Arabidopsis thaliana: one gene and its partner. The protein of the gene in region 2 interacts with the protein of the main gene of each other region in a biochemical or structural test. Each region holds a gene or a part of one and is shown on either strand. Other genes may lie near its edges.

Evidence for each region.
Region 1: the proteins of AT1G32530 (region 2) and ATMND1 form a complex in vitro, tested with the Arabidopsis thaliana proteins (one study listed by BioGRID).

The regions. Positions count from the first base shown.
Region 1 is NC_003075.7:14,380,936-14,385,996, reverse strand, and holds ATMND1 (Mnd1 family protein), read right to left. Parts: upstream 3,162-5,061; 5' UTR 3,013-3,161; coding exon 3,010-3,012; intron 2,541-3,009; exon of another isoform or gene 2,446-2,540; coding exon 2,365-2,445; intron 2,181-2,364; coding exon 2,064-2,180; intron 1,955-2,063; coding exon 1,916-1,954; intron 1,817-1,915; coding exon 1,709-1,816; intron 1,628-1,708; coding exon 1,565-1,627; intron 1,484-1,564; coding exon 1,432-1,483; coding exon of another isoform or gene 1,427-1,431; exon of another isoform or gene 1,291-1,426; coding exon 1,246-1,290; intron 1,150-1,245; coding exon 1,070-1,149; intron 974-1,069; coding exon 869-973; 3' UTR 532-868; downstream 1-531. Other genes in the region: RHS16 (root hair specific 16), read right to left, coding at 1-7, 288-366; SNF7.1 (SNF7 family protein), read right to left, coding at 3,655-3,849, 3,929-4,043, 4,214-4,305, 4,393-4,478, 4,557-4,656, 4,907-4,978. UniProt on the Arabidopsis thaliana protein: Required for proper homologous chromosome pairing and efficient cross-over and intragenic recombination during meiosis.
Region 2 is NC_003070.9:11,758,898-11,764,414, reverse strand, and holds AT1G32530 (RING/U-box superfamily protein), read left to right. Parts: upstream 1-1,779; 5' UTR 1,780-1,874; intron 1,875-2,014; 5' UTR 2,015-2,028; coding exon 2,029-3,648; intron 3,649-4,233; coding exon 4,234-4,749; 3' UTR 4,750-4,988; downstream 4,989-5,517. Other genes in the region: AT1G32520 (TLDc domain protein), read left to right, coding at 5,143-5,341, 5,473-5,517.

The DNA of each region.
Region 1 (5,061 bases), on a different chromosome or scaffold from region 2:
ATGAAACCTGGACCAGAAGAAGGTAAGGGTTTTGATTAATTCTACAACGTTGAGAAAATTTTCATCAAAATTCCAATGCAGGTTTAAATTTTAGAACCTAAAGCATTCAATCATAGAAACAGACTTGGACCTCACTTATCATGTCAAACCAATAATCAGAACACGGTTTTGGCCAAAATGCAACCACATATATCAAAACTTCAAAAATCTTTGGTCTGAAGATTGCTCATTTTCAAATCAAAACAGACTCTAACAGAGGAAAATAAGCGAGAATGAGACTCACGAACCTGCTTGGCCTTGGCCATGTACTACAATGGCAATGGCAATGACGGAAAAAAGGATGAGAAAAACAGAGTGAGCTCCCATGTTCTTCTTATTTTGTAAAGCTCAGCTCATCATCGTCAGAAAAACAGACAACCTGCGTTTAAGATAACACAAAAACACAAAAGACTAGAAAGTACAAAGTCTATGCCCATTTCCTCTTCTGGTAGCAACAAAATTGACCTGGAGGTGTATAACATAAGTGCTGCTCACGACTGAAAAAAGCGGCCAAGAAAGAATATAAAATGGTAATACAGCTATCAAGAAGTAACCAGTGGGTCAACAACTAACGCATGATATATATATAACTCCAATAAAATATTATAACAAAACATAGCCAAGCTTGGACATAGCCGACAGATACAAAGAAAATAAAAATCTTTTCTGACCACAGAATTTGTAACCGAGTTTTGACATTAGATGATTGGGTCACATAGAGAATTACAGACTGTTGCAACCTTTAAAACCAGAAAACTTAAAAGGATAGTGAAAAGATTTTTTACTTAAGCTATTGTTTCTTTAACTGTTATGCTGGAGAGTATTAGAACTAAGCTTCATCTTGTACTAGCTGCTTTGCGGTATCAGCTTCATGGGATGAGCTCAAAGGGAATGATGATAACTCTATGTAATCAAAGTCCTCAGTGATTCCCGCCTGAAAGTTACCCAGCTGATTTAGTCTCTCCTTCATGTATGAGAATGTGAAATGTGGAATTTATAGCCTTTTGAAGTGAAAAGATCTGGAAGATACCTCCGTGTATAGATGTTCTAGCTGTTCCTTGGCCTGGGGGAAGTTGTTTGAACACCATTGTCGCAGTGTGAAGATGTTATCTGAGTAAGTTTGAAAGAATTATAATCTAGGCTGCAGTGAAAATTACGTAAGTATTAAAACTGAAAACACATTCCCAAGTTTTAGAAATGAAATACCTGTCCATCTGTTAGCCGACTGGTGAGCAACTTCAATTGCATTCCCTGTCAAAATTAGAAGGAATATACACATTGATACAGCTAGTAAAGCACAAGATTGATTCTTATTTCTGCTCCACGAAGACCGGGAAAACCATATAGGAGATCTAACACAAAACAAAAGTAACGTATTATGCAGAACTTAACTCTTTGCCTCCAAAGTAGCTGGATCGTTGTCAGCAAATTGTACCATCTCGTTCTGTTTAAGAAGAAGAAACTGTTAGCAACTTGTTAAGCATGTGAATAGCTCTATGCAAACAGATAGTCTGTATAATCTGACCTTCAGATCTTTGTGTTTCTTTTCAATATCTTTGAGTTGCGTCAAGGCCTCTGTTCGTTCCTCCTGCAGCAAGAACAGCAATTCTGGTGAAAAGCACACGTAAGCTTATTCGAGCATTAATTCTACAATACTGAAAATACTTACCGATTCTTCCCTTCCCTTCTTTAGGGCCTCACACTGATCAACAAGTTCTGCTAACCTTTTGTTACTACCCTGAAGATCAGATTCAAGTTTCTGGCGAACACTCCTAAGCTGTTCATTCAAAATGAGATCAGAAACAATGAATTTCGCTATGCTCAAATTAATATGAATCTTTTTGATGTCATCTCAGGATACAGAACGGTGACTCACTTGATTGCCAGCACAGCTGGGAAGGCTCCAAAAGTAGATCTTCATTTGCAAAATAATGAACACCGTCAAACAACATATAACAGAGACAAGGACTATATGGCAACAAATGAAATAAAAAGATCCAACATAGGAACACTAAGCTACTCACAGAAATTCCAATCTTGTCTTTCGCAACAAGATCATCATCGACTAAACTCTGGATAACATCTTTCACAGACTGACTAATTACACCCTTCTTCGGCCCCATCTTCTCAAGTTCCTTTAGCTGAAATTTTTTTACAAAAGTAGAGACCCATAAGTGCTTGTATCACAAACCCAAAAGTTCAATAGCAACAAATTTAGGCAGTATATGCACTTCACGACTCTAGATATCAGATCACTTGGTAGATAAAGCTAGTTCAAAGGCGTCCAAAAATTAGCAAGTTGTAAAAACTAAAGAAAGTGCTCACTAGGAAGAAGTCTTGAGACTCATAGAATATCTGAAGCATCTTCTCTCGTTTCTCCTCCAGCGAAAGTCCCCGTTTCTTAGACTGAATATCATCAACAATAGAAAGCAGCGATTCAGTTGATACGAGAATGACGAAAAAAAACTTCAGAGCTTCAATGACGAAATCCAACAAATGATCTGTCAACAAATAGTTTCCAGATCGAAAATGTCAAAAATATATACAGTCAACTCAGCGACTACACTGATTGCGAGAATTGGCTGCTAGATAAATGCTAATTCGAGAACCTATCGATTCGCGTCATGCAGTCCAAGTGTTTGCGGAAATTCCTCACACAAATTTGTAATGAACTACGGAAGATAGAAACATTACTACCGATGAACGATAAGTTTAAACAAATTTCTTCGAAGAGTAAGAGAAACACATAACGATGACTACTAAACATTCAAACAAATAGGTCGAATCAATACATCCAAAATTCTCTTGTAAGTCGAAGAATCACAAGCTAAGATCATCAGTGTAAGATAATCACGATTCATAGAATCATAGAGAATAATCACTCGATCTTCCCAGGAAAATGCACAAATCACAGAGGTTCATTAGCGAAACAAAATCACAAGTAGAGAACATTCGTCCAGAGTATATTACCATCGTGATCTCTTGCTCCTGGTGATGCAATCCAAAGGATTTCAAACACTGCTACAGCTCTCTCTCACTCTCTTCCCTCACTATCGTCTCCTCTCTTTATCAAATTCGAAATGAGAGAATTGTAGAAGAAGCCTTGAAAACTTAAGCGGGTTATTATCCCTCGCTTTCTGTTTCATTTTTTATTCCAATTAATTTGAATTTAACCTTAAAACGACACGGAGTCCAATTTTATGGTACCAAAACGGCATGATGTTTGTTAAAGCAGCGAAGTCAACGTATATGGTTGACTATTCATGAGTAGTCTTATCAGGCGAAAGTGATGAACATAGGAGTAAAGTGATTATTAACCAAAGGAAAAAGTGTCATAAAAAGATACAAAAATTACAAAAGATAAATTATGTGAAGAACACTCAAATTGCAGATAACATTAACGACGGGGATTATAAAAGTTTTTCGCTCCGAATTAATCTGATTCAGATCCTTATATACATCGTCTGTTCGTGTCTATCAATGCATACATGTCTCTGCTCGGAGAGGTGAATAACCTGCAGTTAAACCAAGCCAATTGCAAAACTAGTTAAATTACAAATCCATAGTCTGTAAGCAAATTGATTGATTTTGCTTTGATTATAGATAGAAGAGACCTTAGAGGGCCATCTCAGCCTGTAATGCAGCGAGTTCTTCTTCCTCAGCAGTCCGCTTCTGGGGAACAGGACGAGCCGGTTGACGCCCTGCAGGCACTGGAACTGAAGGCAATGGAGGAGCTGTTGTTGCCGGCTGTAGAAGTTGCGATTCAAGCTCTTCACTTTCTAGTTCATCAAGCTCTGCTGCAAGCTCATCCTATCAAAGAGAAGTTTTTCTTAGACAAAAGTCATTATTAGTTGAAAAATATATGATCATTTGGGTACAAGAAAGTTACCTCGTCGAAGTCAGCCGCTGCCCCCATTGGAGTCGCCAATGCTTCTTGGATCTGTTTCATGTTCTCGGTTTGCTCATTGATCTCGTCCATGGTCTTATCCACATCATCAATATTTCTGCAAAATATTGTGTTTTGAGTTAGTCAGGCACTAGAAATGTTAAAGCATTCAAGCACAAGAAAAGCATAAGTATTTTGAATACCAAGCTCGTATTAACGATTCCCAGAACTGATGACGGTTAAAATGGTAGTAAAGAGTAATATGGTGAAAATGTGATGAACACTTACGTTGCTTTCTGCATTGCCTTCATTGCAGAAGCTCCACTCCTCAATGCATCAACAGTTTCGGTTGTTGCTTTTGCACCTTCTAACATAATCATCTGTATGACAAAAAGATATAAGATCCCAATAAATTCATCTAATTACTGCTATATAGTTTATAGTTAACAATCTTAAAACAAACTCACTTGATCATGAATACGGAGCTGGAAATTCCCAAGCTGTTCGACTTGTCCCTCATATAACCTCTTCCTTTTCAAACACTGTATAGCCGCTGCAAAAACCCAATACAGCTTTTAAGTACTCCAGTGATTAGCAACACACATGAGTCATAATAAATAAGAGGTCATACCTCGTTTGTTCTTAGCCCGGGAGTATTCTTTTGCCTTCTCAACCTCTGCACCAGCTTTCTTCAAGAGTACTTTCTCCTTTTTCTCTAGCATCTCAAGCGTCTGCAATGAACAAATCAACAAAATTTGAATATGGTTTAAAAGCAAACGATCATATAAATTGTACTCAGAAATCCCCAATTCAATCGTTTTTGAGTATTAAATATAAACGAGAATCGGATTTGAAGTGATGTCTTATGGTGATTTAAGTTTAAGATTAAACAAACAGTACAGAGATCAGTACACAGAGAGATCGATATTTCTTTCAGATCGAACGTAAATTGAGAGAGAGAAGTAGATAAGTAGATGATACCTCGTTAAGCTTGTCTAAAGTTTGGAGAGCATTAGCCTCCTGCTTGGGTTTCCCGAATAGCCGATTCATCATGATTTTGCTCCCACTTCGATCTCTTCTACCCCAACCGACACGATCACAGGTTACTGAAACAATTTTCCGCGAATTAAGAACCG
Region 2 (5,517 bases):
TCCCTATACAAAAAGGCAATGTATATTGGGAAATAAAACATTAATTGTCATAGTAAAAATAATACATATTACAAAAAGTGATTCGATATGAATAGTTATAAAGTGATGAAACATCAAAAACGTTTGAAATGAATATAATTTATTCAGAATATATATTTTTTATTTATTTATTCAGAATATTCAATATGATACGTTAAAAACTTGATTTTAATAGATTACTAAAATGTAAAAAAAAAACTGATTTGAATAGAGGCTACTAACATTTAAATTTTACTACCCATGTTATTTGAATAGAGGCTAGCATGTAATGGATTTAGCGGAATAAAAATGTGAAAGTTTGACGAATGCTATGAATACAAAAAGAAACACTATGCCATTCATACCATCATGAACAAATGCTCTGATTCAAAAGGAGGCAATATGGGTATGTCGATTTGACAAAATGGTCGAAGTTCTTAGGGAACAAAGAGATTTGAGGTCACAATGCAAAATCCAAATATCTTTATTTTTATTTATTTATTTTTTTGTTAAAAGGGTTTTAAAATCCAAACATCTTGTCTAAAGAAATTGTAAAAGACACTTCAACAGAAGATGCCTTCCAGAAGCAAGCAAACAGAGTTGAGTTTCTCAATCTCGTTCCATCATGACCACTAAGCCAATACATGTATGTATGCATCTACGTAACGTATGCGTGTATATGTATGTGCATGTATGTGTGTGGGATTTGGAGGAATGGGAGAGAAAGAATAAAAGGACAAAGGAAAGAGTCATGTAAGAACATTTTGGACATTGACGTCTCTAGAGACGCTTGGATAGCCATTAAAGTGCGGCTATGGAGTTGTCCACGTCTTACTTCAAACTATGATGGCTCAGCTTAAGAAGATGCATACAAAAACCTCTTTTGTTTCCATTCGTTTTTTCTTATATGAGAATGTGGTAAATTCTATAGACGATGTAACACAAGCTATAGAGAATGTATATAATTACAACTGGAATTAGCACACTATTTGTTTATTAATGCCAATGGTATCCCAACTCTACATAAAAAAAGCTTTATAGCAAAAAAAAAACTCTACATCCAAAACGCAGATGCATGGACTGATGGACATTGGTTAATTACCCAAAGGAACAACATTTACGTACCACTGGGCATCCAAACATATAAGCGAATATCACCAAAATCCAAAATCTAAGAAATTTCAAAAAGCAAGAAGTTATATATATGTGTCCATTGCTTTGCCAAAATCTAAGAAGTTATAGATTAGGGTTTCTAGAATAGATAAGCATCGAAGGGATCACAAAACTGTAAACCAAACTGAAATAAATGTTTATACCAAAAACAAAATTTGCTTCTTAACCAATTGGTTTTATAAAAAGAATAAGAATTTGAAACCGAGTTTAATGTAACCAGTCGATCGGACTAAACTAATTGAGATAAATATAATCATAATGTACATTTTAATTTATTAATACAATAGATGTTAGTATAACTATATTAAAATATTATTAGTTCAAACATTATATTTATATAATATAAAGTTAATTTCCTAACTAAAACCAAACCGAATCAAAACCATAATCAAACTGAACCAAACTAATCTGTTTTCACATTCTATATAACCGAAACCAAACAAACAGATCGGATTTTAACCCATACCTATAATAAAACGCTGTCGGTTTGAATTCGGATATATGGGCCCAAATAAGTTCAGTCAAGTAATGGGCTCAAAGCCCATAAATATATTCTCTGGCGCCGCCAGAAATGGAAGAAACCGAAACAAAGTTTCTCTCTCTCTCTCTCTCTCTCGCATAACCTTTTCGCCGAAACTCTCATCTTCTCTTAGCCGAGAAAATTCAGCCACCACCACCGATCAGTAAGTTCTTCGTATTCCTCCGTCTCTATCATCGAATCATTATTTATTCAATAAATTAATTCCATTTCTTCAAACCCATGTTTTTTGGTTGGTAAAGTTTTCATTTTTATCGTCTCTCTGTTTTTCAATCTCTCTTTCAGTTTCAGATTTTGGCATGGGTTGTACTGTGAGGGAGAAGCACGTGAAACCGACCCGTAGGATCAAAGCCGCTGCATTTAGATCCGACCCACCGTTATGTTGGGTCGAGAAGATTGCTATGTCACAATCAATTGTTGAGAACCTTGTTTATCATCCTGGTCTTACTGATTCCGGTTCTGTCAATTTGAATTCCGTTACTGAGAATCCTGAGGAGAATTTTTGGGCATATTGTACAGAGGAGCATTTGGAAGAGATTTTGCTGAAACATTTGGAGTTTTTGTATAATCAAGCTGTTTCTAAGCTTCTTGAATTGGGCTATGAGGAACGTGTTGCGTTGAAAGCGGTTTTGAGTAATGGACACTGTTATGGTGAATTGGATGTGTTGACTAATATAGTGAATAATTCATTATCTTATTTGAATAGTGGTGGAGGTGGAGGTGGGAGTAATGGGAACGGTGAGGATCGAACGGAGACTGGTTTTACGGATTTGAGAGATTTGGAGGAGTATTCGCTTGCGGGTATGATTTACTTGTTGCAACAAGTTAAGCCTAATTTGAGTAAAGGTGATGCAATGTGGTGTTTGTTAATGAGTGAGCTCCATGTTGGTAGGGCAAGTACTCTGGATGTCCCAACGAATAGGTCTAGTTGTTGTACTAAGGAAGATAGCAATGTAGAAGATGTTGGTACGGGTGGTACTCTAGATATTGCTGGTTTTATGGCACCAGCGTTGTGTCGATTCCATGGAGGTTGGGGTTTTGGGAATGGGGGAGGACCTGAGTTTTCTGGTAATGGGTTTTCTATGAAAGGTGCTGAGTTGAAGTTGCAGAGAGAGATTGATTGTCCTAAAAGGTTTAATCTTTCGCCATCCATGAAGTCCTTGTTGAAGCGGAATGTTGCAGCGTTTGCTGCTGGGTATCGTGCTAGTATGAAGCAGAAGCAAATACAGTCGTCTGATACTATTGGTGATAGCAAAGCTTGTAATGATCCTGCAATTGTGAAGAGTTGTGGGCAGCAACCACGTAAGTCAGGGAGTGAAGAAAGTGTTAGTACGGTGTTGGAGAAATTTCGTGATCTGAACCTTGATGATAATCTGGAATCGGTGGGTGTGGATGATAAGGATTGTGTGATAGTCGATCTGCTTCATCAGGTTAAGGATTTCGAGAAGAAAGTAAAGGAAAGGAAAGAGTGGGCTCAGAAGAACGCAATGCAAGCCGCACAAAAGGTCAGCGAGGAATTAGCTGAGCTTAAAACATTGAGTAGTGAAAGAGAAGGAATCCAACTGCTGAAAAAGGGGAAACAGGCTGTTGAAGAATCAACTGCGAAAAGATTTACTGACAAGGAAATTGAACTCAGAAAAGCTTGCAGTCAAAATGACAGGGCCAATGTAATTGTAAGAAAGCTTGAGAATCAAAATGCAGAGATTCGAGCAGAGCGGGAGGGATCCAAATTAAGTGCATCAGAATCGCTTAAAGCGTGCATGGAAGCATCAAAGAAGGAGAAAAAATGCTTGAAGAAGCTTGTGGCATGGGAGAAACAGATATTGAAGTTGCAGGATGAGATTACAGCTGAAAAAGAAAAGATTAAGGCCCTATATAAGACTTTAGCTCAAATCACAGAGTATGAAAAGGAGATTGAGGTACGTTGGTTCATATTATATTCATTTATACTGTGAAAGTTCTCTAGATCCTCTATACTTTTAACTCTAGAATTGTGGGAAGTACATTTACTTAGGATTCAAAATATTTACGTACGTTATCATTTGAGGCACACATCTAGTTGCGAAGTTGGTTCTGTCTTAGATGGTAGTATGCCATAAGACTTCAAAGATCATTCAAGAGGTATAGTCTGTGTCTGCCACATATTTTGCTAGGGTAGATGGAACCTGGATTTGATATGAATATAATCTTGGAGAATCCGTCTCGAGTTGTAGAAGCCAAATGATTTGCTATACCTATTGATATGTTCCACTGGATAGCTTTTCTCTCTACATGGTGGTCTATATTTTCTTTTCGTTCCTGACGTTTTACCTGTTTGCGCCTTGCGGGTACGTTATCTATGTTGCTGCACATTGTGTTCAAAACCTTGCTCTAGATTTGCTTACTTGGACTGTGGTTGATGACTGATAATTGAAATATCAATTTACTTTACCTCAATTAAACATGGAATGATGGTTAGTCTATCAACTTCTTTTTATATTTACCTGTTCATATGTTATTTGCAGGCGAAATGGAGGCAAGAGCAGAAGGCAAAAGAGGAGGCTCTGGCTCAAATGGAGGAAGAACAACGCTCAAAAGAAGCAGCTGAGGGTCACAACAAGAGAAAGCTTGAGACTTTACGACTCAAAATTGAACTAGACTTCCAAAGACACAAAGACGATCACCAAAGACTGGAGCAAGAACTCGGTCGACTCAAAGCCTCTTCAGATAGTGACTCAAGCCACATATCCAACAACGCTTGGAAACCCAAAAAATCTCAAGGAGAAAACATTGCTAAGCTGCTTGAAGAAATTGATAAGCTTGAAGGGTCTTATGACAATGAAGCAAACTATGATCGAGAATGCATAATCTGTATGAAAGATGAAGTCTCTGTGGTGTTTCTTCCTTGTGCGCATCAAGTTGTGTGTGGTAGTTGCAGTGATAGCTTCTTCGCGAGCAACAACGGCGGAAGCAAAGTCACTTGTCCTTGTTGCCGAGGTTTGGTTCAGCAGCGAATCCGTATCTTTGGAGCAACCTCATAAAAGCAGAAATAAGCTTCTCTTTGGGTTTCAGAGAGATCACCACAACTTCAGGTTTTACTTTGTAAGTACAAATAATATGTTTAGCTTCTTCCTCAGAGCTTTTTACACTCAGGAAATTTGATTTTTTTCGATGAAAGATCTTTGCACGATGTAAAATAACTTATTATCGTGATTATCTTGATGAATTCGATTTGGAGGAAACATGCCTCTCTAGTTTTTACCAAATAAAAATCAACTATCGTTTGGTTTGTTTTTGGTTTTGTTTGGTTAAACCGGATTGGACACTTGTTAGCAAAACAATGACAACCACAAGTTCTTGAAAACCACAATTATTGATGCTTTGTCTACTTTTCTTCTTGTGGGTTTTGTTGTGTGGCCGTTACTTGCAAGAAAATGGCTTCGTGTGCCATCTCAAACTCATTTCATACTGTAACCTTCAAGACCTTGAAGAGAATAAGTCCTTACAACAGTCTATTCGGTTGGAACTCCGGTAAGAAAATAGACAATATCCGGCCGCCGCAACAACCGGCTTACCACGACGATGTCGAAATTCCTTTCTCTCTTTCAATGGTAAACAAAACCTTCCTAAAAGGTAAATAAATTTATTCCCTTCTTCTCAATCTAAGTCCTTGTAGCAACATGTGGACTTATATATTCTACCACTAGGAATAAGTATATTTCTTATCTAAAGTTCTTCAACTATATAACAATCTTTTTTATTAGGAAGAGAGTTAAAATGTTGCTACAAGGCAAGCATTGATGGGTTTG